Arabidopsis thaliana: one gene and its partners. The protein of the gene in region 4 purifies or fractionates together with the protein of the main gene of each other region. This does not show direct contact. Each region holds a gene or a part of one and is shown on either strand. Other genes may lie near its edges.

What was found.
Region 1: the proteins of AT1G60070 (region 4) and HAP13 fractionate together in Arabidopsis thaliana (co-fractionation; one large-scale study listed by BioGRID). This does not show direct contact.
Region 2: the proteins of AT1G60070 (region 4) and AT1G10730 fractionate together in Arabidopsis thaliana (co-fractionation; one large-scale study listed by BioGRID). This does not show direct contact.
Region 3: the proteins of AT1G60070 (region 4) and AT4G35410 fractionate together in Arabidopsis thaliana (co-fractionation; one large-scale study listed by BioGRID). This does not show direct contact.

Annotation. Positions count from the first base shown.
Region 1 is NC_003070.9:22,367,158-22,374,813, forward strand, and holds HAP13 (Clathrin adaptor complexes medium subunit family protein), read right to left. Parts: upstream 5,067-7,656; 5' UTR 4,729-5,066; coding exon 4,600-4,728; intron 4,236-4,599; coding exon 4,089-4,235; intron 3,990-4,088; coding exon 3,927-3,989; intron 3,784-3,926; coding exon 3,607-3,783; intron 3,524-3,606; coding exon 3,420-3,523; intron 3,317-3,419; coding exon 3,209-3,316; intron 3,070-3,208; coding exon 2,973-3,069; intron 2,888-2,972; coding exon 2,790-2,887; intron 2,678-2,789; coding exon 2,536-2,677; intron 2,435-2,535; coding exon 2,312-2,434; intron 2,231-2,311; coding exon 2,132-2,230; 3' UTR 1,796-2,131; downstream 1-1,795. Other genes in the region: AT1G60770 (Tetratricopeptide repeat (TPR)-like superfamily protein), read right to left, coding at 1-1,049, 1,264-1,491. UniProt on the Arabidopsis thaliana protein: Subunit of clathrin-associated adaptor protein complex 1 that plays a role in protein sorting at the trans-Golgi network and early endosomes (TGN/EE).
Region 2 is NC_003070.9:3,562,408-3,569,444, forward strand, and holds AT1G10730 (Clathrin adaptor complexes medium subunit family protein), read left to right. Parts: upstream 1-2,849; 5' UTR 2,850-3,055; coding exon 3,056-3,184; intron 3,185-3,324; coding exon 3,325-3,471; intron 3,472-3,577; coding exon 3,578-3,640; intron 3,641-3,750; coding exon 3,751-3,927; intron 3,928-4,001; coding exon 4,002-4,105; intron 4,106-4,197; coding exon 4,198-4,305; intron 4,306-4,429; coding exon 4,430-4,526; intron 4,527-4,620; coding exon 4,621-4,718; intron 4,719-4,818; coding exon 4,819-4,960; intron 4,961-5,035; coding exon 5,036-5,158; intron 5,159-5,273; coding exon 5,274-5,372; 3' UTR 5,373-5,699; downstream 5,700-7,037. Other genes in the region: AT1G10717 (EMBRYO SURROUNDING FACTOR-like protein), read left to right, coding at 1-147; AT1G10720 (BSD domain-containing protein), read left to right, coding at 557-1,172, 1,273-1,460, 1,554-2,039; AT1G10740 (alpha/beta-Hydrolases superfamily protein), read right to left, coding at 5,936-6,140, 6,209-6,340, 6,422-6,859. UniProt on the Arabidopsis thaliana protein: Subunit of clathrin-associated adaptor protein complex 1 that plays a role in protein sorting at the trans-Golgi network and early endosomes (TGN/EE).
Region 3 is NC_003075.7:16,828,745-16,834,502, forward strand, and holds AT4G35410 (Clathrin adaptor complex small chain family protein), read left to right. Parts: upstream 1-3,594; 5' UTR 3,595-3,827; coding exon 3,828-3,830; intron 3,831-4,179; coding exon 4,180-4,266; intron 4,267-4,339; coding exon 4,340-4,540; coding exon of another isoform or gene 4,541-4,570; intron 4,571-4,648; coding exon 4,649-4,684; intron 4,685-4,795; coding exon 4,796-4,882; intron 4,883-4,977; coding exon 4,978-5,052; 3' UTR 5,053-5,258; downstream 5,259-5,758. Other genes in the region: AGF1 (AT-hook protein of GA feedback 1), read left to right, coding at 859-1,758; DRL1 (dihydroflavonol 4-reductase-like1), read right to left, coding at 5,347-5,494, 5,588-5,758. UniProt on the Arabidopsis thaliana protein: Subunit of clathrin-associated adaptor protein complex 1 that plays a role in protein sorting at the trans-Golgi network and early endosomes (TGN/EE).
Region 4 is NC_003070.9:22,142,372-22,151,881, forward strand, and holds AT1G60070 (Adaptor protein complex AP-1, gamma subunit), read right to left. Parts: upstream 7,157-9,510; 5' UTR 6,926-7,156; coding exon 6,894-6,925; intron 6,587-6,893; coding exon 6,284-6,586; intron 6,168-6,283; coding exon 6,026-6,167; intron 5,784-6,025; coding exon 5,610-5,783; intron 5,280-5,609; coding exon 5,100-5,279; intron 4,888-5,099; coding exon 4,733-4,887; intron 4,376-4,732; coding exon 4,285-4,375; intron 4,067-4,284; coding exon 3,903-4,066; intron 3,703-3,902; coding exon 3,648-3,702; intron 3,520-3,647; coding exon 3,397-3,519; intron 3,313-3,396; coding exon 3,217-3,312; intron 2,806-3,216; coding exon 2,678-2,805; intron 2,519-2,677; coding exon 2,414-2,518; intron 2,305-2,413; coding exon 2,048-2,304; intron 1,669-2,047; coding exon 1,456-1,668; intron 1,350-1,455; coding exon 1,174-1,349; intron 1,093-1,173; coding exon 985-1,092; intron 895-984; coding exon 796-894; intron 669-795; coding exon 573-668; 3' UTR 233-572; and 1 more. UniProt on the Arabidopsis thaliana protein: Subunit of clathrin-associated adaptor protein complex 1 that plays a role in protein sorting at the trans-Golgi network and early endosomes (TGN/EE).

The DNA of each region.
Region 1 (7,656 bases), 220 kb from region 4:
ACATCTTTCTTTTGCTCGAAATAGCTCATCAAAGCTCTGACTGTTTCAGGTGACGGTAGCCACTTGCCACCATCTCCTTTGCCGATGGAGACTGCCTTTGACATGCATTCGAGTGCTCGAGCCATATCACCGCTCTTTACATAGTAATCCATGAAGATCTCCCATGTTTTAGCATTGAGCTTTCCACCTCTTCTGGGAGCTTTCTCCTTGAGCTCATTTGCTTTCTGGATTAGACCCTCTTGAGCATAAGCTCCAATCAACACATTCACAATCCTGATGTCATAAGTAGAACAGTTAGCTTGCCATTCCTTGAACAATGTCTCTGCACCAGGTAAATCATTCAACTTGACCAGCACTTGTATCATGTTTAGATAAGCTACATTTGAGGTTTTCGGAATAGCCAGCCTCAACGAACGCCAAATTCTGTAAACTTCAGTCAGCTTCCCCAGACGTCCATACAAAGTAATAAGAAACTGATATGCCGTAAAATCCCGTTGCGTGTTTTTCATCTCCAGTTCCTGAAGAGCCTTCTCAGCTTTCTGAGACAGTCCAGCATCAACATATATCGATGCCATATTGCTATACGTAGTCCAATCCGGAGCAACTCTACCATCTCTATTCATCTCTTCAATGACTCTCTCAACACCAGAAATATCATTAGTAGCAGCCAAAGCCCTCATCCAGACATTATAAGTGTACGAATCCGGCATCACATTCTCCGCCTTCAATTCTTGAATCATCGCCGGAACTTTCTCAGTCTCACCTGTCTTGGTGTAAAGAGTCATGAGGCTGTTATAAGACATGGAACTAGGAGTAATGTTGAGCTCTTTCATCTTATTCAGCAAACCTTCCGCTTTCTCTGTCAACAACTCCTTGCAGTAACAGTTCAAAAGAGACCCATACGTGAGTTCCGTCTTAGATGTTTCCGGAAGATCAACAAAATAATTCTCCCCAGCAGTAATTTCACGAGCTTTAGCAACAAGATCAAGATGGATTGCTTGATCACTCACTGTCTTGTTCATACCTCTCTCTTCCATAACTTCAGATAGCTACAAACCAAAAAAACAACTCCACAATATGAAATCTAAAGACACAATCATCACACAGTGAAAAAATTATTCAACAATTACTAAATTGTTCATAATGAGCATCAAAATACCACTTAAGAATCTACATTTCTATATGTATTCAACAGATTTGAAGCAAATGCTTATTGTGAAGCTAATCCTAGAGAATCGAAAATGCAATTTGGATTTATGAAACCTTGAGAGCTGGGTAATAGAGGCCGCGATTTCGGAGTTTCTTGATCGTATCGCCGACCTCCCATTTGAAGACGTGTTTAGTGCCTTTGAGGAACTGATTAAGCTGCTGTCGAACTTTGACCTCTGTACCACCATCTTTGAAGAGGCGATTGTACAGAGGTTCTTCGATGTACTTCTTTGTCGATCTCTTTGTAACGTCTCTCGATCGGCTCAAATGTCGCATCGCCATTTTCTCGTCGGAGCAGTAAACAACGACAACGAGAAGGTTTTTTGAGTAAAACCCTAATTCACTGTCACTTCCCAAGCTCGAAACAGAATTGGAGGAGAAAGTATGGTGATTATGGGCTTTTTAATGGGCCTGACGATTATTTCATTTCGGCCCATACTATATCAGTTAAACAATATGAGAAACACCAAAATATACGTTCTCTCTATTGTAAGGCTCTCTCACCTCACTCTATTGAAGCATAATTTGTTTATGTAGTTTCATTTTGATCATAACTCGAGAGAAACCTATGTAAACATAGACGAATGCCCCAAAAAACAAAACCAAAACCTCAACGTTTAACAATTTTGATCGCAGAACGAACACATAGACAGAAATGTAGCAGTCTAAAGGAAAATAATGAACCATGTCGTGAAAGGTTACAGAGAGCCTCATGTAAAATAAAATAGAATCACCATAAAGACAAATTCACAAGAATATGGCTTCTAAAACAAATTAAAGGAAAATTTGATCAGCTAAAATGTTTCAAAACGTTTTCTTTTCCCTCTACTTTTGTCCTGTTTCGTTTTGCTTCTTTGATTCAGGCAATTCCTTGAGGGATGTGGGAATCACAATTGACATAGACGATGAAACTAAATGTGCATTACACGAGTCTTAGTTCGTACTCACCAGCCATGGTTATGTATCTCACCCATGGAAGTGCTTGGTACCCACTCTTCTCAATAATCTTTAGGTACCGAACCTACACACCAAAGAACATATATATTATATATATGACATTGTGGAAGAGACAGTAACCATTTATTATTAAGCACAAGCTTACCTGAATCCCTGAAACAGTGAAATAAGGGATCTCAAATTTGACACGGATAGGAGCCTTTCGCTCAGGAGTTGCTTCCTCTGCAGTGATACTTGGAAGATGGAACTCTGCCCTTAACATGTACTCCTATATTGGTTTTCTGAAGGTTAGCATTGATACTACATAGTCTACATTGCTGACTGTTTCAACTGAATTTAAGAGTTTATTGAACCTTGTTAGTGTTATACCTTGTTCCCCGGGAAAGATTTGATTTTCCAGACTAACGCATCTTTTTCAGGAGCATAAGAGGCAGACCCTAGAGATGTCCTAACGGTGGGGTTAGATGCATCGGTTGGTACAGGCAACTCAATCTCAACGTTCGTTGCGGTGCTACAAAAAGAATGTTCGTGATCAAAGGTTTAAAGAATCTGATCAATCAGGATCTTTGCATGACAGTAAGACAGAAAAGGAAAGTGGCACAAATACCATAGAATATATTTACCTTCGTTCCTTGAACTGACTTCTAGCTTTTATGAGCATCTCAACACGACTTCTTGAATGACTTTCTATTTGTGCTTCCACCCATATAAGTGGCTTTACCTGAACATAAAAGAAACAAATCATGATATTTACTTGTTGAAGACGTGGAACAATTCCAGTAGATGCTATATCCCACATGTCAAACCTGAGTGCTGAGTCTATATGTCATCAGATCAAAAGCCCCATCAGGTGGTATGAAAGATATCGTCCTATCGTTTTCAAAACGGGCCAATCGAACACACCTGCATTAAATAAATGGTTGTTGAAGAAGAGAATACATAAAACTCAAGTATATAATCTTTTTGAACAAAAAGAAAATAGAAGGGTTAAGATCAGTGAAGACTTTCCAAGTTTCAATATAATAAAAACTTAAAGACGTACTGATGAAATTTGATGTCCTCCAAATCAATGGCTTTTCCCTTAGTTGCTCGTCCCTGCGCTTCCAGCAATACTCTATCATTCAGTCCTAACTTACACTCTGGCATTCCACTGCAATAGAATGGATCAAAGAGCAAAATAGTCAAAAAGGGACGTGATTTAACATGCTTTGGCTGATTAGGAACTATATCGTAAATTTGATGTGTTGACATACGTCAAGTAAGTTCGCATCTTCAGCGCTCCAACAACATCAGACCTGACAATTTGCCCATTACTGTTGACAAGAATATTTACATTCTCAATAACATCCAAGAAAACCTGGAAAAAGAAGCAGGTTGTCATTATTTGCAAACCGAAACATCAGAAACATATTCCTATCTTGCGAAAACAATGGCACTCACTTCATTCTTCTTGTACTGTATTCCCTCACTCCTCCAGGAGACAGCATTCGTCACAGCCATTGGAGGTCTCTGTGTAACTTCCATTCTATATGCATCAGTCTTGATGAATTCACTGAGAATTCTTGCTTCGGTATACTGAGGGTAACCAAAGTCCATCATCTCGTCAAGTAGCTCATACTGCCAGCACCAAAAAATCAATTTCAGCATCTAACAATGACAAATACTTTTCCAAAATTTTAAGGATCTTTTTGATTGCCCAAGTAATAGAAAAATATATTGCGAAATAGTACTAAAAGAGCGATGACAGAAGCTTAACATACCACTACCACAAAGTTATCCCTCAATGATTCCTCTTCTAACTCCTCGAAGTAATGCTTGAAAACCTATAACCAGATAACAGATACCATTGCCATTACATCAAATATCCAGGAAAAAGATGGAACCTTAAGAGAAAAACTAAAGAATTGACCAGCCATACTTACATCGACAACGCGGTGAAGAAAGAAGAGAAGACTGGCAGCATTACAATTCTGCCTGGATGCTATCATCAAGTATACATTACTATGTTGTACAAACATATAAGTCACCCCATTATCGTAAGCAACTGGATCATTTGACTGTGAATCACCCTGAACAATTAAACAAAACGATGATTACTCTGATTTAAACCAGAATGCTTCAAAAGTACAGATTCAAATCAAATTCTAATCCAAAACATTTAACCAATGATCAAACTTGTTCATTACTTCCAAAAAATTTCAGCGGCATCAGATCACAAAGACTGATACGAATCCATTATCTTCAAAATTCATTTCCAGTGCAGATGAAAATGGACACGAATCCATTATCTTCGAAATGTTTCAATTCCAATTGACGAATCTTTCAAACACAAATCTACAAGTTCGTTCGCTAACTCTATGTTTCTCTGAAAATTCTACAGTAACCAAGCAATAAACAAAGACCAATTAGCGATAAGAGGAAGATCAGAACAACCTCTTTCTCGATGAGCTTAGTGAAGAATCGCTCGGCTTGAGCAGCGGAGACATCGCCACGATAATCACGCCAGACGAGAACGCGTCCCTTGATATCAAGCAGAAACAGCGCGGAGGCAGCTCCTGCCATGTTCTTCCCTAAGAGTTTCGATCAGATCCAAATGGGGATGATTAATCAGCGAGATCTGATGAAATTATGGTTCTATAGAGGAAGAAGTAGCAACAACATCTAGATGGAGATTGACGCAGATCTGCAGCTCAGATTCTCCATTTCGCAATTTTTTTTTTTTTTCTGGCGATCTGATGATTTCGTTATCGATCCTTGTGGTTGGATTAAAAAAAAAAACGGAAGAATTTAAGAAAATAATAATATTCAGAAGCAAAGAGCTCTGCCTTTCACCCAGACGGTATCGTTTTACTTTTTCCGTCAAATTTAATACCATCGAAAGTAGAAGGAGAGTCAATGAAGAAAGTCATCATTGAAGAAGAAAGGCCCATTGGATCATTACATAAAGTCAGGCCCATATAGGTTGGGTTTCGTAGGTTAAAATTATTAGGTTAACGACGAATTAGTATAAAAATAGGTTTGTAATGAATCAAGGATAGAAGTAAAACCTAAAATCGAACATATGCGTTTTTCACAAAAACTTTAGGGGAATCTAGGGTTTGTGTAGTGTCACCACCATGAAATCGTGAGGACTATCAAGTATAAACTAGAAAACTGTCATGGGGTATGATCGAATGTTTGTGTACTCATTTTTCGTGGATATGAAGATATGCAACATTTGATCATTCTCCATGATAGTATTCTAGTTCGATATATAAAATTTCAATAGAACACTGCAACATGAAGTGTTTTGTATACTTAGCTTGATTGCTAGCATATTTACGTATATTACCTCCTATGTGTTGATGTTCACACGACAACACAATTTCACTGGTACCAATCATTCCAACAAATTATAACTCGGTCTCAGGGATTGTATATTTTGTTGGATTGATTGGTAACATGAAATTTTGAATTTTTGAATTTTTGATGTTACCGGTGTGAGTGTATACTTTGTTGGATTGATTAGTACGATTGCATACTTTGTTGGATTGATTGGTACACAATAAAAGCGTTTGAAAGTAATAGATTTTAAACCTTTCTAAACCATGTAGTGAACTTGAAGCTTATTCAAGCAGTTTATTACTTTCAAACTTGATATTTTGTTACATAGCTAGTTTGGCTCTTAAGTTCTCATCATAAAGATTATGGGATCTTAATGAAGACGTAATAGCCCTTATCTTTTCACATGTTTTGAGTATTTGTCAATTATATATGCGTCCTCTTGTTCTGTGACTATCTTAGTCTTTTATAAATACTATATATATATGCGTCCTCTTGTTCTGTGATTCATAGGACAATGGTAATGCAAGACTCGGAACTTAACTAATATTGTGATCGCCTTATTGATCTTCTCCCTATACCGCTATACGTAGTGAAATTAATAGTTTGTAATGTAGAATGCTAATAAGATAGAAGTGTACTTTTTGGCAAGACACTAATTATAATGACTAATTTATCAAACATAAGAGGAAAAAATCAGAGATATGTTACTTCATAGTTTACAAATGAATCATGGGCAATAAGTCTTGAACTTAACTAATATAGTGTTAGTTACGTTAAGTGATGATGAACTTGTCTTGAAGTACATCATAGTCAACATACGTATTAGAGATAGTTACATTTGGTTTACATTATTGGTTAACTTTATTGGTTTACATTATTGGTTAACTTTAACTAATAATGTAAACCAAATGTAACCATCTCTAATAATACGTACAATTCTATTTATTTTGTACGCTCAAGAAAGACCAGATCAATTAACCGCAATACAAAGATCCGATTGACTATCGCAAAAATGCATATATGACGGGAACACTACATATAGTAGAGACACAAATTCATTATGTGGATATAGACATTATGTTAAAAATTGGAGTCTTTAATCAAACACTAATAATATCGTTTACAAATTTCTAGAGAGTACAAAAAAAAAAAATCTTCTTTATCATATTTTCGCAGTATTAATCTTTGGTATATTTAGATGCAACTTCTACGGTAAGAATTCGTCAACCATTGAAGCAAAGAAGAAGAATGAGATTAAAGAAAAATGGGGTTAAAGTCAAACGTATAATATGGTCAACAAATAGAGACGACATTGACCAAAAAGATTCAAAACTTTGAAACTAGACTCTCATCTCGTTACTTCATTCATTACTTGCACTGAAAAAAATAGTATATAAAAAAGGGTTAGAATATAAAAATTAATCAAAAGTAATAAGTGCAAAATAAATTCATATATCTTAGAGTCACGCGTTTCCTCGGGTTCCCTATTGTTCATTAAAAACCTATTTGAGTCTTTTGAATATTCACTCACTCTAACACACATTCTTCATTTCTTCAATGATCACACACACATTCTTGAGTTTTCCCTCAATTAATTTTAGTAAAATTTGTTTCTAGTTTCTAGAATCCTTGGCTTTAGACTGGTTGTAACATTACAGATATAAAATGTATGAAATGTTTCGATATGAAATGTTATCAATCCGTATTTATAATACATAATTGGTATTTAAGTTACTTCGGGGTCTATACTACTATATATGATAGAGATTAATTATGAAAAAAATGAAGATGGTTCCAGAATTTATGTGCATGAAGGTTTTATTTGCAGTGTCCAAACAAAATACTTGTAGAGAAACCATATTTTAATCACCTAACTTCGACCAATATAAAACGGATTATCGTAATCATTAGTTAGGGCACTTTTTAGTTGACTACGATCGATATCTTTTGCACCACCCTTTAAAAACTATAGCACCTTTCAGTTTGTATGACTAAAACAAAAACTATTGGCATCACCACTAAATTATGTATCAAAAAATAACTTAAGAACGTATATCAAAATAAGTTGTTCCATTTAGGGTACATAATACTGTATTTCTTTCACATTAAACATATGCTTTAAATACCATGATTACATTCTTTATGCTTGAGAAAAGAAACAAAAAA
Region 2 (7,037 bases), about 19 Mb from region 4:
CATGAGACTTGCTCCGGTGGTTTCTCACTGAAAAATGATTGTTGGTGCTGCTTGCGACTTAAAACTAAACAAGCTCGTTGTTGGAAAGAAAAAGAATTTCCCAACGCTAAGGAGCTTTGTTTCGCCAATTGTCCCCCTCTTGAATAATTTTTATGGATTCTGTCATTTCGAAGCAGATTTTTTTAAAAAACGTTGATAAATCTAAATATGTATGTTGCATATTCGATTTAAGGTTTTTTATGACATTTATTTCGATTTTAGTGGATTCCTTTACATTAATGTTACGATATTCTTATTTTCTATAATTTAAATTCACTGAATATCAACCAATTACATTTCTAAATAAAAATATATATTTTATAGGTGTTAGATAATCCAATTACAGTTGCCACCAAAAAATATGGAATTTAAAACTAAATTACAAGTATATGATATTTAATTTGGATGGGGTTTGTTAGGAAAAGATAAAATAATTTGCATAGTTTTAGTTTTTGAGTCAACCAAATGGATCAATAGATTAATTGAGAAAAAGAAAAGAAAAAAGAAATCAATCATAATGTTTTCGAATTTTTTGGAAAGCTTATACGATGGAATCGGAGACGATGACGCCGCCGACGACGACGAAGACAACAACAACGACGAGAAAACCCCGAAAGCCTCAACGGAAAGACACGATTTCTCGAGAAACGCCGTTCGTTTGTCACCGGAAGAGGAGGCTCAAGCGCGTGGGGTTAAAGATGATTTGACGGAACTTGGTCATACCCTCACGCGTCAATTTCGTGGTGTGGCTAACTTTCTCGCTCCGTTACCTGATGGATCTTCTTCTTCTTCCTCCGATCTATCGAACCATCCCAGGTTTAACCAATCTCGGTCTTCAGATCCTGGATTGAATCAATCGCGTTCTTCAGATCGGGACGAATCGTGTGTTGGAAGTGATACGCCGGAGACTGGAATTAGGTTTAGGAGCTGGGATTTAGAAGAAAAATTGGCAGAAGGCAATGATCCGGAGGATGAGGAAGAAGAAGAAGAGGAAACAGATGAAGAAGAAGAAGAAGAAGAAGAGATCGCTGCGGTTGCTCTTACAGACGAAGTGCTAGCATTTGCGAGGAACATAGCAATGCATCCAGAAACTTGGTTGGATTTTCCTCTTGATCCTGACGAAGATCTTGATGGTAACGTATACATTGAGTCAAGTCTTTCGCTATTAGTCTTCATTGATTTGACTTATAGGCATATCAAAAGTTTGATTATTTCAACTTTTATCTAATGTAGATTTGGAAATGAGTGATGCTCAAAGAGGTCATGCTTTAGCTATTGAGCGTCTTGCTCCGAGGTTAGCTGCATTGAGAATAGAGCTTTGTCCATGTCATATGAGTGTTGGTTACTTCTGGAAAGTCTATTTTGTTCTTCTTCTTTCAAGGCTCAATAAACACGATGCTCATCTTTTGTCTTCTCCACAGGTTAAAAAAACCTGAATCTCAATCTCTTCTTGAGTCAAAATGATTCTTTGTTGTTGCTGTTGTTTATTCAACAAAATCCTTTTGCTTTTGCAGGTGATGGAAGCTAGAGCATTGTGGATGAAAGAGCTTCAGAATCAGACACATTCTTCAAAAGAAAGTAGAGATATGATTCTTGAGGAAGAAGATATTACACCATCAACTTCTAATTACTACAACCATGCTCCTCCTGAGTTTCTTTCTCCAAGAATATATGCTTTTGAACCTCCTTCGATTATGTATCGCGATTTTGAACACGGGTTTGAAAACGCTCAGTTCATCGATAAAGCTGTTATTGAGGAAAAACCAATCCAGAAGAACGACAAAAATAGTGCAAGCCTTAGCCAAACATCTAAAGATGTTGTTGATGATGATGATGATGATTGGCCAGAAGAAGAAGATTCTGCTAATTCTTGGGCTCCAATGTTTACAGTGAATGAGGATGATGTTTCTTTCAGTGATCTTGAAGGAGACGACGATATAAGTAGCTTAGCACTCAAGTCTAAGATTACATCAAAGGGCACAGACCAAAAAGGAACATGAAACATCATCTGGCTTGTTGCTTTGCCCTGCCTCACGAGATCGAATCAATAGAATTGAACATAAGTACTGTGTGCTGAGTCAAATCGTGGAAGTCTTTTGGGTGAGTTTGATTGTTTTGTGGATTTATGATGTTTGCTCTCAAAGAGAAGGAAGAAAGAAAGAAAAAGGTTTTGATTGAAACATGTACAGAAGATTTACTTTGACACTGCAATTTCATTGTAATGTTCTCTCTCGCCAAATGTAATGAAATATTGAAAAGCACTATTTCATTCGCGTGGAACTTAAAAGAAATTGATAGAGAATGGCGCAAGTGAATTCAAGTGTAACAAACTGTTAGAATCATTATTGGATTGGAAAATCATATGGGATTTTATTGCTTATGTTGAGGATTTGTATGTATGAAAATGGGAACAACCAGGAGGAGCTATCATCAATTAACAAAATAACTCCTATGACTTAACTAAAAAACAAATCTATGTTGAAATGTATAACATTTGTCAAAATGCTAGTACTTTGTTAATAATTAAGGGGTGTTATTGGTTTGTGATTTATATAGAGTTTTAGTGATTTAAAAATATTATATAGAATCTGATGTTATTCAATTCAAATTTTCATTTTTTTTTTTTAATTTGGTATTATTAGTTTAAGATTTATAAAAATTAATCTAAAATCTTCGTAAGTAAGATTGCTTCCCTAATACAGAGAAAGAAAGAAAAACCAAGTAAGATTGGTAATACGATGTCGTTTCGCAGAATAATGCAAAGCTGAACCCAATTTAATAAGCTGCACTTTTCTTTCTTTCTCGAGTCTCCCGTCGTTTTTTATGTCAGAACCAATTCGTCAGGTCGTGAATAAGTGACTTTATCGACGAACCACCACTCAGCTGCAGCAAATGATCGTTTAGCTCCGGCGAAGCGTAAAATTCTTCAGATCTCTCTGGAATTAATAATCCGTCTGTTTGATCGATCTGATTCGGCAAATCCTTGAGAAAACAAGGAGGGAAGAAGAAGAAGAACATGGCAGGGGCGGCCTCAGCGCTGTTTCTGCTCGATATCAAAGGTCGTGTTCTCGTGTGGCGCGATTACCGTGGCGATGTCACCGCTGCTCAAGCTGAGCGTTTCTTCACCAAACTCATCGAGACAGAGGTGAAGTTTTAACATTTGGAACTAATGAACAAGCTTGATCAGTGCTTAAAAGGATTCAATTTGATCAGAATCGTTATACTTATGACTAAATGACTAGTGTTTTCTCTGCGGGTTTGCTTACTTTCGTCTAATATGTTCAGGGTGATTCACAGTCAAATGATCCGGTTGCTTATGATAATGGCGTGACCTACATGTTTGTACAGCATAGTAACATTTACCTCATGATAGCGTCCAGACAGAACTGTAATGCTGCCAGTCTTCTCTTCTTCTTGCATCGTGTAGTCGATGTAAGCATCCCTAGTGATTCAGTTTTTTGCATTTCCATCTGTTTTCTGAATTTGAAGAAAAAAGAACGGCACTGTTTCATATGTTACAGTCTTATACTGATCGTAGGTCTTCAAGCATTACTTCGAGGAGTTAGAGGAAGAATCTTTGAGAGATAACTTTGTGGTAGTGGTAAGATAATGCTTCTCACATCTCTTCTTATAACTGTTTTCCCTCTTGCATGAGGTGGATATGTGTGGGCGAAAGTTATTTCTAAAAACATTTACTTATGTTACTGGCAGTATGAGTTACTTGACGAGATGATGGACTTTGGTTACCCTCAGTTTACTGAGGCAAGAATCCTTAGTGAATTCATCAAGACTGATGCATATAGAATGGAAGTTACACAGAGACCTCCAATGGCTGTCACTAATTCTGTCTCATGGAGGAGTGAGGGGTTAAAGTTTAAGAAAAACGAAGTAGGTGCTCAACATTTTACTTTTCAATTGTTTTAGGTTTTCTAATGTTTGCAGACTGATGTTTTGTTTTCCAGGTTTTCTTGGATGTGATAGAGAGTGTAAATATCCTTGTGAACAGTAATGGGCAAATTGTCAGGTCTGATGTCGTTGGAGCTTTGAAGATGCGAACATACTTGAGGTGCGTTCTCTAGTGTCCCTAGTTAACCAACGCATTTAAAATCAAAAGTCCCTCCTCTTTGACTCTCTGCTTCTTTATCCATGTTATTACAGTGGAATGCCAGAGTGTAAGCTAGGCTTGAATGACAGAATATTGTTGGAGGCACAGGGACGAGCAATAAAAGGAAAAGCCATTGATTTGGAGGACATCAAATTTCATCAGTACGTTAATCTCTTGCAACTTTAAACATTCTTTGACAGTCACTCTATCGAGGCCAATTTTTTTACTAACTCGAAAAATTATTGAATACTTGAGTTTTTACACGTCTCTTTCTTCAAAATGTAGGTGTGTTCGATTAGCCCGTTTTGAGAACGACAGGACAATATCATTCATACCACCTGATGGATCTTTTGATCTTATGACGTATAGACTCAGTACTCAGGTTTTAGAATGTGTAATATTGCAGAAATGGTTTTGTCCCCTTCTTAAACGAATTATATCATGATATATCTTATTTTCGCATAATACTTGTTCAGGTAAAGCCTCTTATATGGGTGGAAGCGCATATAGAGAGGCATTCCAGAAGTCGTGTTGAGATGCTAGTAAAAGCTAGAAGCCAATTCAAGGACAGAAGGTAAGTAACAAATGTTACTTAACACGTTTAACCATTACCTGAAATACTGAAATACTGGAATCCTTTAACGCGTTTTGATAAGAGTTCCTTTTTTCTGCAGCTATGCAACAAGTGTTGAGATTGAGTTACCTGTACCAACTGATGCGTATAACCCCGATGTAAGAACATCTCTCGGGTCGGCCGCATATGCTCCTGAGAAAGATGCACTGGTCTGGAAGATACAATATTTCTATGGGAACAAGGTAAGTTCTTATAGTTTAATGTAACACTTGACCATGTAAAGTCGAATGCTTACATTAAGTTTTGAAACAATGTAGGAGCATACATTGAAAGCAGATTTCCATCTTCCAAGTATAGCCGCAGAGGAAGCAACGCCTGAGCGAAAAGCTCCAATCCGTGTCAAATTTGAGATCCCAAAATTCATAGTTTCAGGAATACAGGTTGGTATTACTCACAATGATACGTTATTATCATATAGATCACATTCTTTTTATATTACTGCATTGAAATCTGAAGGCAAACAAACCTGATGTGTGTTAATTATGGGTATTGCAGGTTCGATACCTGAAGATCATTGAGAAGAGTGGGTACCAGGCACATCCATGGGTGAGATATATAACCATGGCTGGTGAGTACGAACTGAGACTCATGTAAAATGAGATCGTTTTTTTGTTTTTACTATTATTTAAGCCATTGTCAACGACACAAAGCAGAGGAAGATCAATGAGAAAAGGAAAAAGATTGAAATATATTAGCTGATAGAATTTGCGGTGAAGGTTGTTTTAGAAGCCATTTTCTTGTGAATTGTTTCATGGCGTTCTCTTTTTTTTTTTTTTTTTTCTGTAAAACTATATACGACAGTTATATATATATTGGGTTACAATTGTTAAACATCGAGTTTTATTTGGGGTTCTTTCAGTTCGTTTACCGATGGAAAATGCATGCAGTCTGGGTGACTACACCAATAATGGTTTTCCTTAAACGTCCGCTAATTTTGTAAGAGTTCACTATATAAATAACTTTGATGAGGCAGTAGAGCAACATGACGAACTAACAAATATTATAATTTTCAAAATGGAAGATATATATTTTACAGTACAACAAATCGAGAGGAGAACAAGAAGAACAATGAATAATCTGTATTAGTAGTAAATAGCCTAAACAAAAACTTAAGCCCTCAACGTAACAACCCTAAAACATTTTTTTTTTGCATGTGATCAATGTACAAAGTTGTTTATTCTGGGTGATGATGATGAACGAGGAGAAGAAGGAGATTGATTGGGGAGAGTCTGAGGAATCTTTCTAAAAACATGTTTCCTGCAACGTTGGAAGATGCTGTCGTATATCAGATCAAACTGAACACCAGCTCTCTCTCTGTTCACTATGAACATTATGTGATCTGCTTCCACTATCTTATAATACCTGCAACAACAAGGTATTCAGATTTTCTCAATCCATCAACGTCATTAGGTCATATATGATTCACTTACCAGATCCCGGGTTGTAATGTTTGACATTCCGAATCGCTCCTTATGAACCGGCTCGGATGCTCAACAGGTAGCCTCGGATGTGTCATTGATATTGTGTTCAATGCCCCGTCGTTCTCTTGCCAGTCCTCATCCCTTCATTCAAACATGTTTTCTTAGACCAATGCAGCAAGGGCTTCAAAAATCAATGTTAAATTTTTGAGTGTTTTTGAGTACCTGTAGCCTTTATAAGGAGGAGAGACATCTTGTGGGAATTTCCATTGGCTCATCTGAAAGACGCGGAGGAAGAGCATCGGGTGGATTCCAAGAACACCTGAAGGGATTGTCATACCCATGACTCTGCGGGTGCGTTTAGTCGCGTAGCTGAAGTAGTAAGTGTTTGGGAACGTCTGGAGATTGGAGTTAATACTTGTTGAGCCTTGGATTGTGAGATCAGGTAAGATCCAATCGCCAGAAGCAAAAGGACCTGCGTTTCCCATTAGGCAATCAACGAGACCTCTCACACCGGTCTTCTTCCAAGAAATGTTGAAGTGATCGAACCCGAAATTGTAATAAGTCTTTAGCCATGAAATGTCCAACCAATCGTACATTATCACGCCTATACGACACAGCTGCAACAAACATATCGGTTTCATGCTCACTCCATCATCTGTCCTGTAACAGCAACAATAAGAATCAACAATTAGGATAAAAGATCTTGGTTTTCTAATACAGGAACATACAATTGCTTCAAAGATCAAACCTTATTTCAAAATGAAGAAACAGGAACATTCCAATCAATTGTAAAGATCCATGTAAATACCGAAAAGAATTGAAAATGTCAGAATGAAAA
Region 3 (5,758 bases), on a different chromosome or scaffold from region 4:
TAGACTCATGGTAAGAGCAAATGCTAGTATTTTAAAACTTCCGATCTTAATTTTGTAAAAATACTAAAATGTAATAGTTTGAACTTAAAAATAAATAAAAAGAGGACAATCGTTATGTTATTTACCGACAAAAAACACTAACAGATAGTTTGGTCGGTTATAGTTCTTGAAATCAAACAGCGTAACTTGACTTTGGAATAACAATTTACATTCGCTTTGTTTTCTTTTTTTGCTTTAAGATTAGAAAACAAAACAAATCTACAATCATCATATCACCATCACAAAACCATCCCTTCACCGTCACAAAAGGCCTCTCCTTTAACTTCTCTATCTCCGTGATTTACTTCTCCAGAATCCTTCTTTTGTCTCCCGCAGAATCCATCAGTCCCTTCTTAGGTCGTCAACATCTTAATTTAGTTTTTTTGCTTCACTCGAGGAAAAGTCACTACACCAACCCAACATATTATTATATGGATACACAAATATATTTGTATTATTTATATTTATATGTACCTTATTATAGTTTAGAAGAGAGCTGTGTTTTGTGATGCTCTTGCTTTACTTCTTTCTCTCCTTTGTTTCATTCCATTTCACATGAAGATCTAGATCTGGGTCCAGACAAATTTCACCGACCCAGCTCTTTCACATATGTAGACCTCTCTCTCTCTAATTATTCAGTAAGGTTTTGTTCTCTCTTGTCGTCTTCTTGTTTTGTCCGTAGCATTATTAATAATCAAACTCAGTCTCTGAAATACTCTCAGTGACAAACCACTTCTGTCGACTTTTGTCTTTGTCTCTCACTAGCTATAACCAAAAAAATCCAAAAACCCAAACCACAGTTTCTTGTTTTTGTTATCAATGTCTAGTTATATGCACCCTCTTCTAGGGCAAGAACTGCATCTACAGAGACCTGAAGATTCCAGAACCCCACCTGATCAAAATAACATGGAACTTAACAGATCTGAAGCAGACGAAGCAAAGGCCGAGACCACTCCCACCGGTGGAGCCACCAGCTCAGCCACAGCCTCTGGCTCTTCCTCCGGACGTCGTCCACGTGGTCGTCCTGCAGGTTCCAAAAACAAACCCAAACCTCCGACGATTATAACTAGAGATAGTCCTAACGTCCTTAGATCACACGTTCTTGAAGTCACCTCCGGTTCGGACATATCCGAGGCAGTCTCCACCTACGCCACTCGTCGCGGCTGCGGCGTTTGCATTATAAGCGGCACGGGTGCGGTCACTAACGTCACGATACGGCAACCTGCGGCTCCGGCTGGTGGAGGTGTGATTACCCTGCATGGTCGGTTTGACATTTTGTCTTTGACCGGTACTGCGCTTCCACCGCCTGCACCACCGGGAGCAGGAGGTTTGACGGTGTATCTAGCCGGAGGTCAAGGACAAGTTGTAGGAGGGAATGTGGCTGGTTCGTTAATTGCTTCGGGACCGGTAGTGTTGATGGCTGCTTCTTTTGCAAACGCAGTTTATGATAGGTTACCGATTGAAGAGGAAGAAACCCCACCGCCGAGAACCACCGGGGTGCAGCAGCAGCAGCCGGAGGCGTCTCAGTCGTCGGAGGTTACGGGGAGTGGGGCCCAGGCGTGTGAGTCAAACCTCCAAGGTGGAAATGGTGGAGGAGGTGTTGCTTTCTACAATCTTGGAATGAATATGAACAATTTTCAATTCTCCGGGGGAGATATTTACGGTATGAGCGGCGGTAGCGGAGGAGGTGGTGGCGGTGCGACTAGACCCGCGTTTTAGAGTTTTAGCGTTTTGGTGACACCTTTTGTTGCGTTTGCGTGTTTGACCTCAAACTACTAGGCTACTAGCTATAGCGGTTGCGAAATGCGAATATTAGGTTTTATTTATTTATTTTTTGTTTCTCTTAAAACTTGGTGTGTGAAAAAAGAAAACGAACGCTTAAATTTCCTTTTTCTGTTTGTTTTTATGAATAGAATTGGTAAGTTTCATAAAAAAAAAATAGTATTAATTTGTGATTTAATATCTAAACTTACAGAAAAATGTCAAATCGACCATATTAATCGTGAAAAATGTTATTATTAGGGAAAAATGTTATTTAATACCTAAACTTACAAAAAATGGCCAAATTAACCGTGAACTCGTGAAATGGCCGTTTTATCTCTCAACAAAAAGTTGACTTCTATTTTAACTTTTAAGTTTGCGTTGACTCGGGCTAATAAACCACCGTTAAAAATTCTTCTAACAGCGTAATTAACAGCCGTTACAGAACATCCGTTAAGGTGATACGATGACGTTTTGTGCTAAAGAGAAATCAAAATCGAGAATAGAAATTCCCAAAACAAAATCAATTACCCTAAACCCAAATCGAAACCTAATCCTGCCCCCAAAATCAAAATCGAAACCCTAATTGCTTCAATTCGTTTTCTGAAATGCCATTAGTTAGAAAGAATGGCGTCGTTATGAGGATTGGATCTCCAATGCTTCACGAATCAGAGAATTTGGTGGGAGATGGAGTCGAAGCACCACCGCGAGGAGAAAGAGATGAAATTGGAGAAGAAGTTGGGGGTGAAACGAATGTGGTATCTGAGTCTTGTGGCGGAGAAGAGGGAGCACAAGATGCAGCTAAAACAACGCCGGAAGGAGAAGCAGATCGAATTTGAGAGAGAATGATTTTTAGGATTTGGGTTTTGATTTGGAGATTTTTCAGAGGTTTCGTCGACTTTGAAGTCTGTTGATAGCACAAAACGTCATCGTATCACCTTAACGGATGTTCTGTAACGGCTGTTAATTACGCTGTTAGAAGGATTTTTAACGGTGGTTTATTAAACCGAGTCAACGCAAACTTAAAGGTTAAAATAGAAGTCAACTTTTTGTTGAGAGATAAAACGGCCATTTCACGAATTCACGGTTAATTTGGCCATTTTTTGTAAGTTCAGGTATTAAATAACATTTCCCCCCTAATTATTAGGTGAGTAATACGGAGAAAATGGACTTTAATTATATTCGTAAATTGATGTTCACACATTAAGGCTCTAACTAAATCTTCCGATTATTGTCATATAAACATGTTCTAATTTGTGATAAAACTGAACTTCCACTGTCTCGCAGAGAAGGGAAAGAATATTTTGGGAGAACAACTAAAACCCTAATATCTATGATGATGTCAACTTCAAAACACATTGAAACTTGAGAAAAACAAAAATCAAAGAAAATAAAAATAAAGCCTGCATGCAAGAGAATATGCCTTCCCTCCAAGGTTAAATAAAAACAAGCTTATGTGAGAGATTAAGTATGTTCATAACTTCACAATTGTGTCCATTAGTCGCTGCTCACGTTAGTCAGGAGTTATTTCTGTTGGGTCTTATCAAAACTGTTGTTTATGTCTATTTTGATTATGGACTTACCTTTACATTTGCATTTTATATTTTCATTCTTAGTTATAAAAAAATTGCTTATACTTTTCTGTTGTTTGACCCAGCACCAAGTATAAGAACAATTAAAAAATTTGATACCTAAGAAACTAATTCTATAAGATTAATTGAAGAATTATTTTCATTCAAAATCTTTTGACATAATTGCTACGTTTAATGTGTAATGCCCTGGTCTATTCGATAAGATTAAGAAGATAATTGCAATAATGGAACAAAATTAGCTGAGAATGCAATCCGTTTGCATGGATCCGACCCGGAATGCAATCCGTTTTTAATTATGTAAATGACAATTATACCCCTGGCACTCGACATGTTTGACAGTTTGAGCAAAGAGAATTTTTTTCTTGTTGAGGATCATCGATTATCAGTTTCTGGATTTCGCTACTACAGATTTGTCCCGTCTTGAGTTACGAAATCATGGTAACAATGCTCGATCTTCGATTCTGTGTTTACGAATGCTGCCCTGGATTTGAATTTCGCATCTCCGATTCGTTCTTATGCTTCTTCTTCATTAGTTTGATACTTGGATCTGCTCTTGATCGGTGGTTTCAGATATTTCTCTTCAAATTATTCTTTGCAGATAGAAAATTTGGTGACTTTAGTTTGATAATGCTAGCTTCTGGGTTTGATTTTTCGTAGTTTCGATCCTCCTAGTTCAGTTCAATGGCTTCAAATTTGAAACCTTTGTTTGTTGGACTCTTTCTTAAGCTGGTGAGTTGATGATCCTAATAAGAAACCAATGGTGTGTTTTTGATTTGTGTGTTTTCAGATACATTTTGTGCTTCTAGTTAGCCGGCAAGGAAAGGTAAGGCTCACCAAATGGTATTCTCCTTATGCACAGAAGGAAAGATCTAAGGTATGTATTGAGCTTCATTCACACCTTGTTATGCTTTAGCATACATCTCTCATCTTACATGCTATGTATATAGGTTATACGTGAACTCAGTGGAGTGATTCTGAATCGAGGTCCAAAGCTCTGCAATTTTGTTGAATGGAGAGGATACAAAGTTGTTTACAAAAGATATGCAAGTCTCTACTTCTGCATGTGCATTGATCAGGAGGATAACGAGTTAGAGGTCCTTGAGATCATTCATCACTATGTTGAGATTCTCGATCGCTATTTTGGAAGTGTGAGTACCAAAAAAACCAGCACCTGCTGAGATTCCACCTTTACTATCTCTTACCTTAACGGAACCTCTAAATTATGATAAGGAATTGTTTTATCTGATGACCTTCAGGTGTGTGAACTCGATTTGATTTTTAACTTCCACAAGGTAATAGCATGCTGCAAACACTCAAGGACTCTGCCATTCGTCACTTGATTCTCTATCCTCTGCATCTTTATATCTTGCTGACAGTTTCTGGATTTCTTGTTGCTTTCTTAGGCATATTACATATTGGATGAGCTCTTGATTGCTGGGGAGCTTCAAGAGTCAAGCAAGAAAACAGTAGCCAGGATTATATCCGCTCAGGTACTGAGTTGTATGTTTAAGTCATCGACATGAAAATATTAGTGTAGTAGTTTTTTCTTGAGAAATGACAGTCTCTGTCTGTTATGTTGTCAAAGGATCAACTGGTGGAGGTTGCAAAAGAGGAGGCCAGTTCGATAAGTAATATAATCGCTCAGGCTACTAATCGATAAGTAGTCTTATTCATCATCTATGCATTCTTATGCAGTTAAAGTATGTTCCCTGTCTCTGGCTACAGTAATTGTTTTGAGAAATCTTTATCCATTTGATTTTTCTTGCGGAGGGATTTTCGTCTTAAAGCGTAACTTGGAGAGAAGAAATATGTTATGATTTGGTTCATAAACAAGTAAAGATTATATCGTTTGTAATCTTTGATTTCATGTTTTCCAATCCCATTCTTTCATTGTGAATCCACATGACTACTATTTCAGACCAATCTTATTTGCACATATTCTCTAGTCCAAGAGTTATGGAAGAACAGTAGATAAATAGCCTTGCTCGACTAATGAGGCAATGCAGTCATCGAACATCTCTTCAAGGGACTTGAACTTGAGCCCGAGACTCTGTATCTTCGAGGTGTCAAAGTCGTAATGCAACCTATTTAGTTTCTCAAACCTGAAATTTTCAAACAGAGTATCATCATGATCTATGATTTTAAAATTTTACAAGGTTTGAGAGATGGTTTAGTTTAAAGGGTCAGTGTCAAACCTCTTGGGGATAGGGAGTGATGGGTAACGAGCAGATAGGAATGAAACGAGTTCCTCTAGACTGATAACGTTAGAGCTACAAATGTATCTGCCTTGAGCTGCTTCGTGTTCGAAAACGACTATGTGGGTTCGTGCAACGTCATCGATATGAACATACCCCATTTGTCCATGC
Region 4 (9,510 bases):
GAAAATACTAGGCGGCTAAGTATTGCATCTCACTATGACGATTACTAACTTTAGGCAGCATGGTTAGGCAAGAAATGAAAATTCAGCATTTTGGACTGCATGTAAACACAATTTGAACGGTTTGAATAGTGCATAAACAATATCGATAGGCCTAATTTGTCATACACAATTTTTGTTTAAAATTAAAAAAAATTGTCCGTCTAATTTCTAATTATTATACTGAATTCGGAGTTGATGAAAATCTTCGTTATTACAAAAGACAAAATAAGTTATTTTCTAAACTAATAATAAATTGTTTTCTCAAAATGTTACTATGGAAAAAACAAAAACGTTTTATTAATGATATAAATGATAGAGAAGAACTTGAAGCAGCAAGAAGAATACATTTGACGTCACACATTCTCATAAGTAACTCAGACCATCAAAAAGTTATCTCACTTTAAACCCAGATTTCACACAAAGCCAACGAATCACACATACAAAGGTTCTATGAAGAAGTTTGTTTTAGTCTATGGGAAGTGATTATATAAATTAGGAATATGTATATGAATCTTGGAATACCTGAAACGTTCTCATAACCCACGTGGGAAATTGTTGATTTGTCCTTCCTCCAACACATCTTTGCCATTAATCTTGTAACCTACCCTCATCCGCATCACAATGGGTTTCTGAAAACAGAGAAGAACAGCGATTATTCTGAGCGCTTTGTGGTATCGGTTTCACAAAAGATTGAGGTTTTGTGCTTGTTGTTATATAAATCTGGTGAAGAGAAGAAAGAAAAAGAAGAAAATGTACCTTCCCCTTTTGGCTATTTGTAACTCTCATAGTTTGTTTGATGTTTCCGTTAGCTGGAAGAGAATTGCTGCTAGCGGGATCCAGGTGAAGTTGTAGAAACTGCAATGTGTGTGATAACATGAATATATTAGAACATCGTCAACAAAACATATCATGGAAACCTAAACCGAACCCAATTTACTCCAAAACAGTTCCAAGTATTTCCACTAATAAGAACTTTGCAAAAAACATGAATCTATCACTATCACGACCATAAAAATGTGGAACGTTAAGAACCAAGCACATGGCAGAATTGTTCTTTAGGAAAGATTGTGTTCTTATTAGCTATGAATCATAAGGCCTATAACGTAAGCAGAAAAAGCAAATTTGGGACCTGACCTTTGGAACTGCAGCCTGGAAAAGAAATTCTGTGTACACGTTAGGAGTAAGATTTATGAAATTGGCCACAATGTCTGTCGTTTGAGGATTTTCTGATTGCTTTGTGAAGTTGAACTCAATCTTCAAGGAGCTGCTTTCAAATGCAACAATGGACGGATATGCTGCACTCTTGTCCTCTGTCATGGAAGAAAAGAGATGATATCATCACATTTGAAAACAAGAAGAAAGAGGGGAGAAACTGTGCTATGTAACTTTTCAATGTTTAATATAGCGCATCTTTACCGCTCTTTGGTGGGGTGGGACCAAATCCATCCAATAAATCCATCATCGAAGAAGGCGCAGTGGGAGAAGTCAAAGAAGGCGCTATTGGAGCATTGTTATCTTGAATAGATAATAAGTCTCCATTCGCCGAGCCATTTTGCACAGGGGCAGGAGTTCCGATTGACAACAGATCCATAAGAATATCCGCACCAGCTTGCGATGGCTGCATGGCACCTGAAATTGAAAAATGCAGGGGTAAACAAAGGGGTCGACGATTTAGAATATATGATGAAACTTCACAACTGAACATCCCAAACTCTCTACAAAACTTAACACTACACTTATCTTCACTAAAATTTTTACAGTTTTCTTCGGGTTATAGTTAGGACAGGCCATACTGCAGCTGAAGCCAATAAGTTGAGGACATGACCAGAGAAAATTATCTGGCTGAAGAAAACGTATATGAATTATAATCTAACTTCTATTCCAGGAAGATAGTGCTATACAGATGGTTAACAATTAATATTATCAGTTGCAATACAAGAAAAACTTCAATAAGTTAGTTTTTTCTTTGAGCTAATGAAGTGGAATAGTGTAAGCTTGGAAGTCTAACCAGGTTGTGCTGAAGGCTGCGATAAATCAACACCAAGAAGATCTTGAAGAAAGTTGTTACTGGAGGAGGTAGGCGCAGGAGTATCATCAGAGCCCAGATCGAGTAAATCAACAAGAGGAGCTGCTGCTTTAGCAACACCGTTTGGAATACCAAGCGGAGATTTTCCAGAAGTTGACACAGATGCTGGTAAAGAACCAGCTCTCCTTCCACTAAATGTTGCCTCATCAAGGACCGGCATTCTTTCAACCAGAGAAGATCTGCATATTTATATCAATCGTGTTGAGTAATTTAGTAGATCAATATCTATAGGACTCTCTCATTCAAATTGATGAAAACAGATATGTCCAGTAGCATCGAAAGAATTACCTTATATTCTGATGCTTTTGAATAACTGAACTGAACTCCAGGGATCTTTGTTGAAGTTCTAAGACAAAGCTACCTTTGTTCTGTCCTATAATACTTTTAACTCTCCTGTAAGCAATACAACAAGCCCAACACTGGTGAGAAGTATCATTGACTAATTTTCATCGCGGCATAATTAATAAGAAAAAATCAGGGACGTGAAATGAGTTCATGCGTGATTATAACCAGAAAATCTAGAATCAACTAGCTAGGTAGGAGTTGGCATACTCTGAACAGGATGGGAAACGAGATGAGATCTTTAACAGAGCAATGAGTGCCATTGCCTTAGTTGTGACATCTGATAAATGATGCTTAATAGCATTCTCGACAACATCCACTGCATCTGATTCTGTTACCTGATTACAGAAGCTTGAGAACACAAATAAATATCTATCCTCCTAATATCTCATTGAAAAATATACCTTTGGCATGTAAAGAGGATCATTCAAAATGTTGCAGGCAGAATGTTCATTAATGAATCTATTTGAATGAGCAATCAAATAGTAAGGAAAATACATCCCCTTAAGACACAGAAAATAACAACTGATACCATTTTCTTCATTTTTTATCAAACAGAAAACTAGCCAGCGCAGAAAATCCACAAGATGACGAGTTAACATTTCTAGGGTGTGAGGATCCCCACATAAATCAGTGAAGCAGAAATATTTTACAAGACCAAAAAAAGCAAATTAAGAAAGAGATCCCCAAATTGCACCTCCAGTACCAGTCACAACAATAAACCCTGAGTGCAGGATGATAGTACTTACCGTTATTGGATCTTCTAAGTCAAGCATTCCAGCATTGTTAACCAACAGATCAGCATATTCTCCTATGCACCATATTGCAACGCGCACAAGAGTTTCCTGCCCAAACATGATAATGACCCTCTTACTCCTAAGTTACAAGATATTCAAATTTAGGAAATGTCTAACCAAAGAAATGTCTACCTGTTCAAAAGATGTATGTAATGCTCTATACAAAGCCCTGACAGTGTACCCATGGAGATCAGGGGCATTTGTTATTACAACAATCAGCGCGTGCCATACATCCTCTTTCACATAAGTTCCAGCCTGTTATGGACATAATCAAGATTAGAACTCTCAGATTAGAACCTACATAAATTCATATGAAGTAAAAAGTTTGTTGTTAGTTAAGTGTACGGAAAAACGTAATCTCACAACCTGGGTTCAAAATATACCTCAGATAGAACCTTTAGCATTTGATCAATGTACCAGATTTTCTCTGGAGCAAACCTAGCAGAAAGGAAATACTAATTCAGTAACCAATTAGGTCTGATGGACACCATTTATCCAGGCCAGCATTCTGATAAACTTAAGGGATTACTATTAATTGAGCTTAACGCACAACTTTGATACAAATTAAAATGTTCAGTTACCATATACTAGAAGAATGAAATCTCTGTACATGCTGGCTGAAGAGTTGCGCAACTTACTTTTCAACTATGGAGCATATCTTTGCAGTAAGATCTCCTTTAAAATCTTGTTCGCTTACTTCCAAATATTCTATAAGCTCCTTTGCTAGTGGCTTCACGTTATTCTCATTCACTAGAAGGTAAATAAGCTCAAGTGCCCTTTTCTGAATTGAAGCATCTGAATCCTAAAGCACAAGATATTAAACACTTTCCATTTAATAAAGAATGATCTCAGTCGACCTACACAGAATTAGATGGTTTACTATACTAAGACACAAAGTCGGAAGCATGTTACAGCTCTGATACATAAATTGCATTCCATAACCAGTAAATCCAGTGGAATCTAAATCGCCTAGTAAATCAATAGGATATCCCAACAAAGAAGTAACACCACATAAAATACCTTAACACACTCCAGGATTGTAGCTCTGTGTCTTTGAACCGCTTGGGAATCAACAGTTAAGGATCTCATCAGCATGTTTAATGCTACGTATCTGAGAAAGCAAAGCTAAGGTTTATTATTTTCTGGAAGGTGGTCAGTGGAGAGACAAGAAAGAGATCAGATGAAGTGTTCTATCAATTTTTCACAAAATCTCATACAATAGTTCCATCCATACACAATACTGTCCAAACACGTCAGTTTTGGTTTATTTTATCTTTATAAACAGCTGCTCCTTCAAGTGGAATAATAGAAAAAAAAACAGAATCACTGCAAACTAGACATATATGAGTGTAACAACTTCTGTCAGCATTATAGCAAACTAAATTTGGAAGATTATTGTAGATGAATAATAAGATCTCAGAGATTAGTTACAAAAAAAAACTCAAATATGGTGGTACTCGATAAAAACCTGATGTTATTATCTCGGTTGGACAAGAATTTTCCTAAGATATTGATTGCAAGGACTCGTAGGCCACCATTTTCTTCGATGCTCATTATCGTTTGAACGCATTCGTATAGGATAGCATTCCCTGCATTTTTGTTTGACTCGGTTTTTGATGCCACCTAATACATTAAAAATCAACTTAGGAATCAAAAATGATTATCTGCAATTACGATCCTGACTGATGTAGATCAAAAGCGTTTTCAAAGCAAATTTCACAAATGATCTTTGAAACAAAACCTATAAAGATGAGAAAAAGGCTTCATTTTTTACCATTGTTTGAAAAGAGAAAAAGGCTTGAAAAAAAAGCTCGACAGACTACGTACGAACAAACCTGAGCAAGTATATCATTCATACAGTCACTGGCATCTGCATCCCCTTGGCCCAAAACACGCAACAGTTTGAGCAATCTGATGTGAAGGAATGGATCCGTAATTCCAGCGACGTCATACTCAGGTGAATATGGACTGTTTGCAATATCTCTCAGGGTTTTAACCAAGCCCTCTGTGCATTTCTGTCAATTAGATAAGGAAACCGCTCATTTTCCATCATGGCAAGAACATCAAAGATTGAAAACACTCAAATCAGTTTAGAATACAGGCAAATATTATCCAGGAAGATAATGAATCTAAAGAGACAAAATGGAGAATGCAGGGATCATACAGATTCCAGACAAGAATCATGAAACCATGAGACAGTAAGAGGCTATGAGTTACAAAGAGAAGCCTAATGAACAAATGTAGAGTACTTTCCGATTCTCCAAGAAAGAAGAAGAACGCAAACTAGAACATATAAGGCATCCTAATATTCGTTTAACCACATAGATAGGATATCAGCAGATTACCTTCCGGAAATATTCAAGGGCTTCGGAACTGACTTTACAGATTTCTGTGCAAAGGTGAACTCCCGTAATGAGAACACCATGATGCTTTTCTTTGAGTAAAGCAGCACCAGGATTAATAAAGTTCTCAGAAAGATCCGGAACTTTTCTGATGATCCTTATCGCGCAAAGAGCTGCCTAAATAAAGAAAAAAAAAACTAGTTCACTATAATGTATTAGTCTATGCATACAAAAAAATGACAGAAGTAAAGTGTAAATTCGTGAAAATGATACATAGCTCGTAAATTAAAGCCTTCACGTGGTTAATACATGCACGTTAACCTAGCATCTAAGGTTTTCCAACATTTCCACCACTGACCCTCACAACAAAGACACCTGTTATCTGAACGGGTACAATGACAGTACAAGAAAACACTCACTTTCTTGCGTATATTTGGATCACGAAACTGAAGTAATCGTTCAACTTCAGGGGCGAGATCACGAGCCATTTCTGCTGAACAAATATTTCCTAAAGCACAGAGAGCAAGCCCCACAATGTACTGGTTCGTGTGATTCAGATCTCTAGACGTAAGTCAAGGTTCTCACAAGATGAACTTAAAAATTTGTGCGAAGATGCCAGCAAAAAGTTAAAACACTACTAGGGAATCAAAATCAAAAATTAACACCATAAAGGATACTGCTTCAGCGAGTTGGTGACAAGCATTAATACTTCTTGCCTTTCATCAAGAAGCAACATTAATCCAAGATAACCAATCCTCTTCTCAGGAAATCCAGGAGAAGCAATTAACTTCAAGCATTCCATTTGCCCAAAATGAGTAGGGTAACCAAGCATATGAATGAACATAAGCTTCGCTAGATCCCGATGTCTATAGTCCTGGTCATTTTCATTAATCGAAGCACGGATCGCAGCACATTCTTTCCTCACAACAGCACGTTCCTCAGCAGCGGTTTTACTCGCACGTATAGCTCGAATCATGTCGCTGCAACACAAATTGTCATTAAAATGATGAATTCATTTACATTTACATACTCTCAATTTATAAAGAATCGAAGCTTCATCAAAAATGCTAAGAGGATTCTATCATACAACATGCCTAATCTCACACAATCAGCCAAAACATTTTTCTGATAATCGTCAATTTCCGATTGAATTTGCCGATTACTAGAAGAATCAAGCTACATTATGGATTTAGACACTAGAAAACGCACGAAAATGGAAGTATCGCAAAGTCGCAATAGAGAAAAAGCAGATTACTAGTTGGAGATCGGAGTAAAGTGATTCCTAACCTGAGACGCGTGCCGGAAGAGAATGGATTCATGACCGGAGCGGTACGAAGCTGATGAAATCAGATCGGAGACGATTGAAGCGGAAAAATGGATCAACGAATTTGAAAATTCATAGATCTAAGAAGCTGAATTTCCAGATCTGAGTGTTTTTCTTTCACTTGATCTCTTCCACTATCGATGAAAACATGAAGAGAGAAAAGAGAGGTCTGTGTTTTTTTTTTCTCTTCCCTGAAAGAAAACGGAAAAAATATTAACGGAGTTGCAGATTCTAACGGAATCATACAACACTTTAACGGTAACAGATTAAAGCCTCTGTCGGATTCAGAAGGTTTGTTTTTCTTTTTTTTTTTTTTCTTGGGCAACAATTTTTTTTGTACTATAAATACGTCAAAGACAGAGAGACCCAGACAGAAAATTAGGGTTTAGAAAAACAAAAGTGAGTCGCCGATGGATAAAGGTAGATGTCGAAATCTCTCTGTTGTGAAGTCAAACATGAGTATGAATTAACATTAATGGATCTTTTTGATTCATAATACTCATGTTTGGTTTCACAGTAGATAGATATCGACGTCTATCTTTCGTTAATTATGTTGATGACGTTGTGGAGCTATCTATCGTTAGAGTGGATAAACTTGTCTTGTTACATTAGAGAGTTGATCATATGCATGGATTCATTTCAGATGGCTGTTTGGGTAACTAATATTTAAGATTTTGGTCAATTTAAGTTACCAATTTATATATTGGTTACCCATATGGCCATCTCAAATTTAATCCGTTAAAAATTTGCTCGTAGATTGCTTGGAAATCTAAATTTTATAATCTTTTACCCAAAAATAAGTATAACAAGTTTTCTGGTTACGTTAGAGTGTTGATTATATGGATTCATTTGAGATGAAGATATGGGTGATGATCAATGCTTACGATTTTGGTCAATTTATGTTAGCAATTTAATTCTTTTTCATCCATATTTTCATCTCGAATTTAATCTTTAAAAAAGCGTTTGTTAGATCACTTAGAAATCCAACTTTGATGCTTTTTAGTATTAACTAGTTCCGTGATGGTCATGTTGCTGATTTGCTATAATTTCATCGTTCTTCTTTTAGTCTACTTATCAGTAATTAAGTGCAAATCTATCATTATTTTTTTGTTTTTGTAAGATTCACTTTCATCAAGATCAGTATTGATGAGGGTGAGATCAGTTTTCTAGGTAAATATTGTTCGGATCAAAGTTCTCATGAATCAGTGAACCAAAGTTTTAGATTCTTCTGGTAAGAATTCTGACTTACCGCAAGAATCTAAAGTGTTGATATGTTTTGTCAAATACAACCAAATGTAAAATTCTTTTATTTGTTTTTTTAATACATTTTGAGTATGGTTTTTAAAACAATGGTCACTAGCTAGAGTGTCCATGATCAATTCGTCTTCGGTCGTTGGATTTGCTAAGATGTAGTTCTTGAACATGATGTATGCAAGTTAAAGAGAAAGAGATGTTCTTAATCTTCAGTTTTCTTCTCTTTGTACGATGCTTCCTTTTCGGTGATCGATGCATTGACTTGTTCCTTTTGTCCAGAGATGACAACTACTATAATGGTTTGAAAAACTTAGGGTTGAAAAATTAGGGTTAAAAAAAAAAACTAGTGGATCGACGCCAATGGATAGAGTAGAGGAAGAGGCGGAAGATAGGGAAGTAAGTATACAATCTAAAGAAGATGAGAGTTTTTGTAAGTTTCTCGAGATGATTCCTCTTGATCTAATTCCTGATATACTCTTGAGACTTCCTGCTAAATCTGCTGCGAGGTTCCACTGGGTCTCTTAGCTATGGTCATCAATCACCACTCATCCAGATTTCATCAGGTCGTTCGCGAGTCAGTCTTCAACTAGGTTGTGTCTTTTGGTCTGCGTGAAAACAAGTGACAAGCGTATTTTCTGCGCAATGCCCCAACATGAAAATCCGGACAGATCATGTTATCCACATGTGGAGCGTTATCTGAAAGACACTCTCATATTTGATTATCACGAATGGTCCCAGTCGGTCCATGGCTTGATATGTTTGGGAGATTCTTGGGGCATATTGTAGTTTGGAATCCAATCATGAGACAACATGTTACCTTACCAAAAGTCGCATTTGAATGTAGCTCTTTAGGATATGATCCGGTCGAGGGTAAGTATAAAGTCTTGTGCATCTCATGCTCTAGATACCAAGATCCTCTTGTTTTTACTTTGGGACCTCAAGAATCATGGAGAGTGACACAAAATACCCCTAAACATGTCCCTCTATCCGCCGAGGGACTAATACAAAGTATATGTATCAACGGGGAAGTGTATTATGAAGCGAGTATACCTTTTGGAGTCGATGATAGTTCTGAAGTTGAGAAAGTCCTTATGAGCTTCGATGTGAGGTACGAAAAGTTCAACACAATAAGAAAATCAGCGGCTGATAATTTACTTTGCAAATTTTTCCTCAACTACGAAGGAAAATTTGCATGGGTTTGCTCTGACGACGTCTCTGGTAAATGATTTTGGGTTTTGGAGGATGAAGAGAAACAAGAACGGTCACTTAGAAAATTTCCTCAACGTGACCCGATCTGGAAAGTTTCTTGGGGGCTGAGAGGTATTA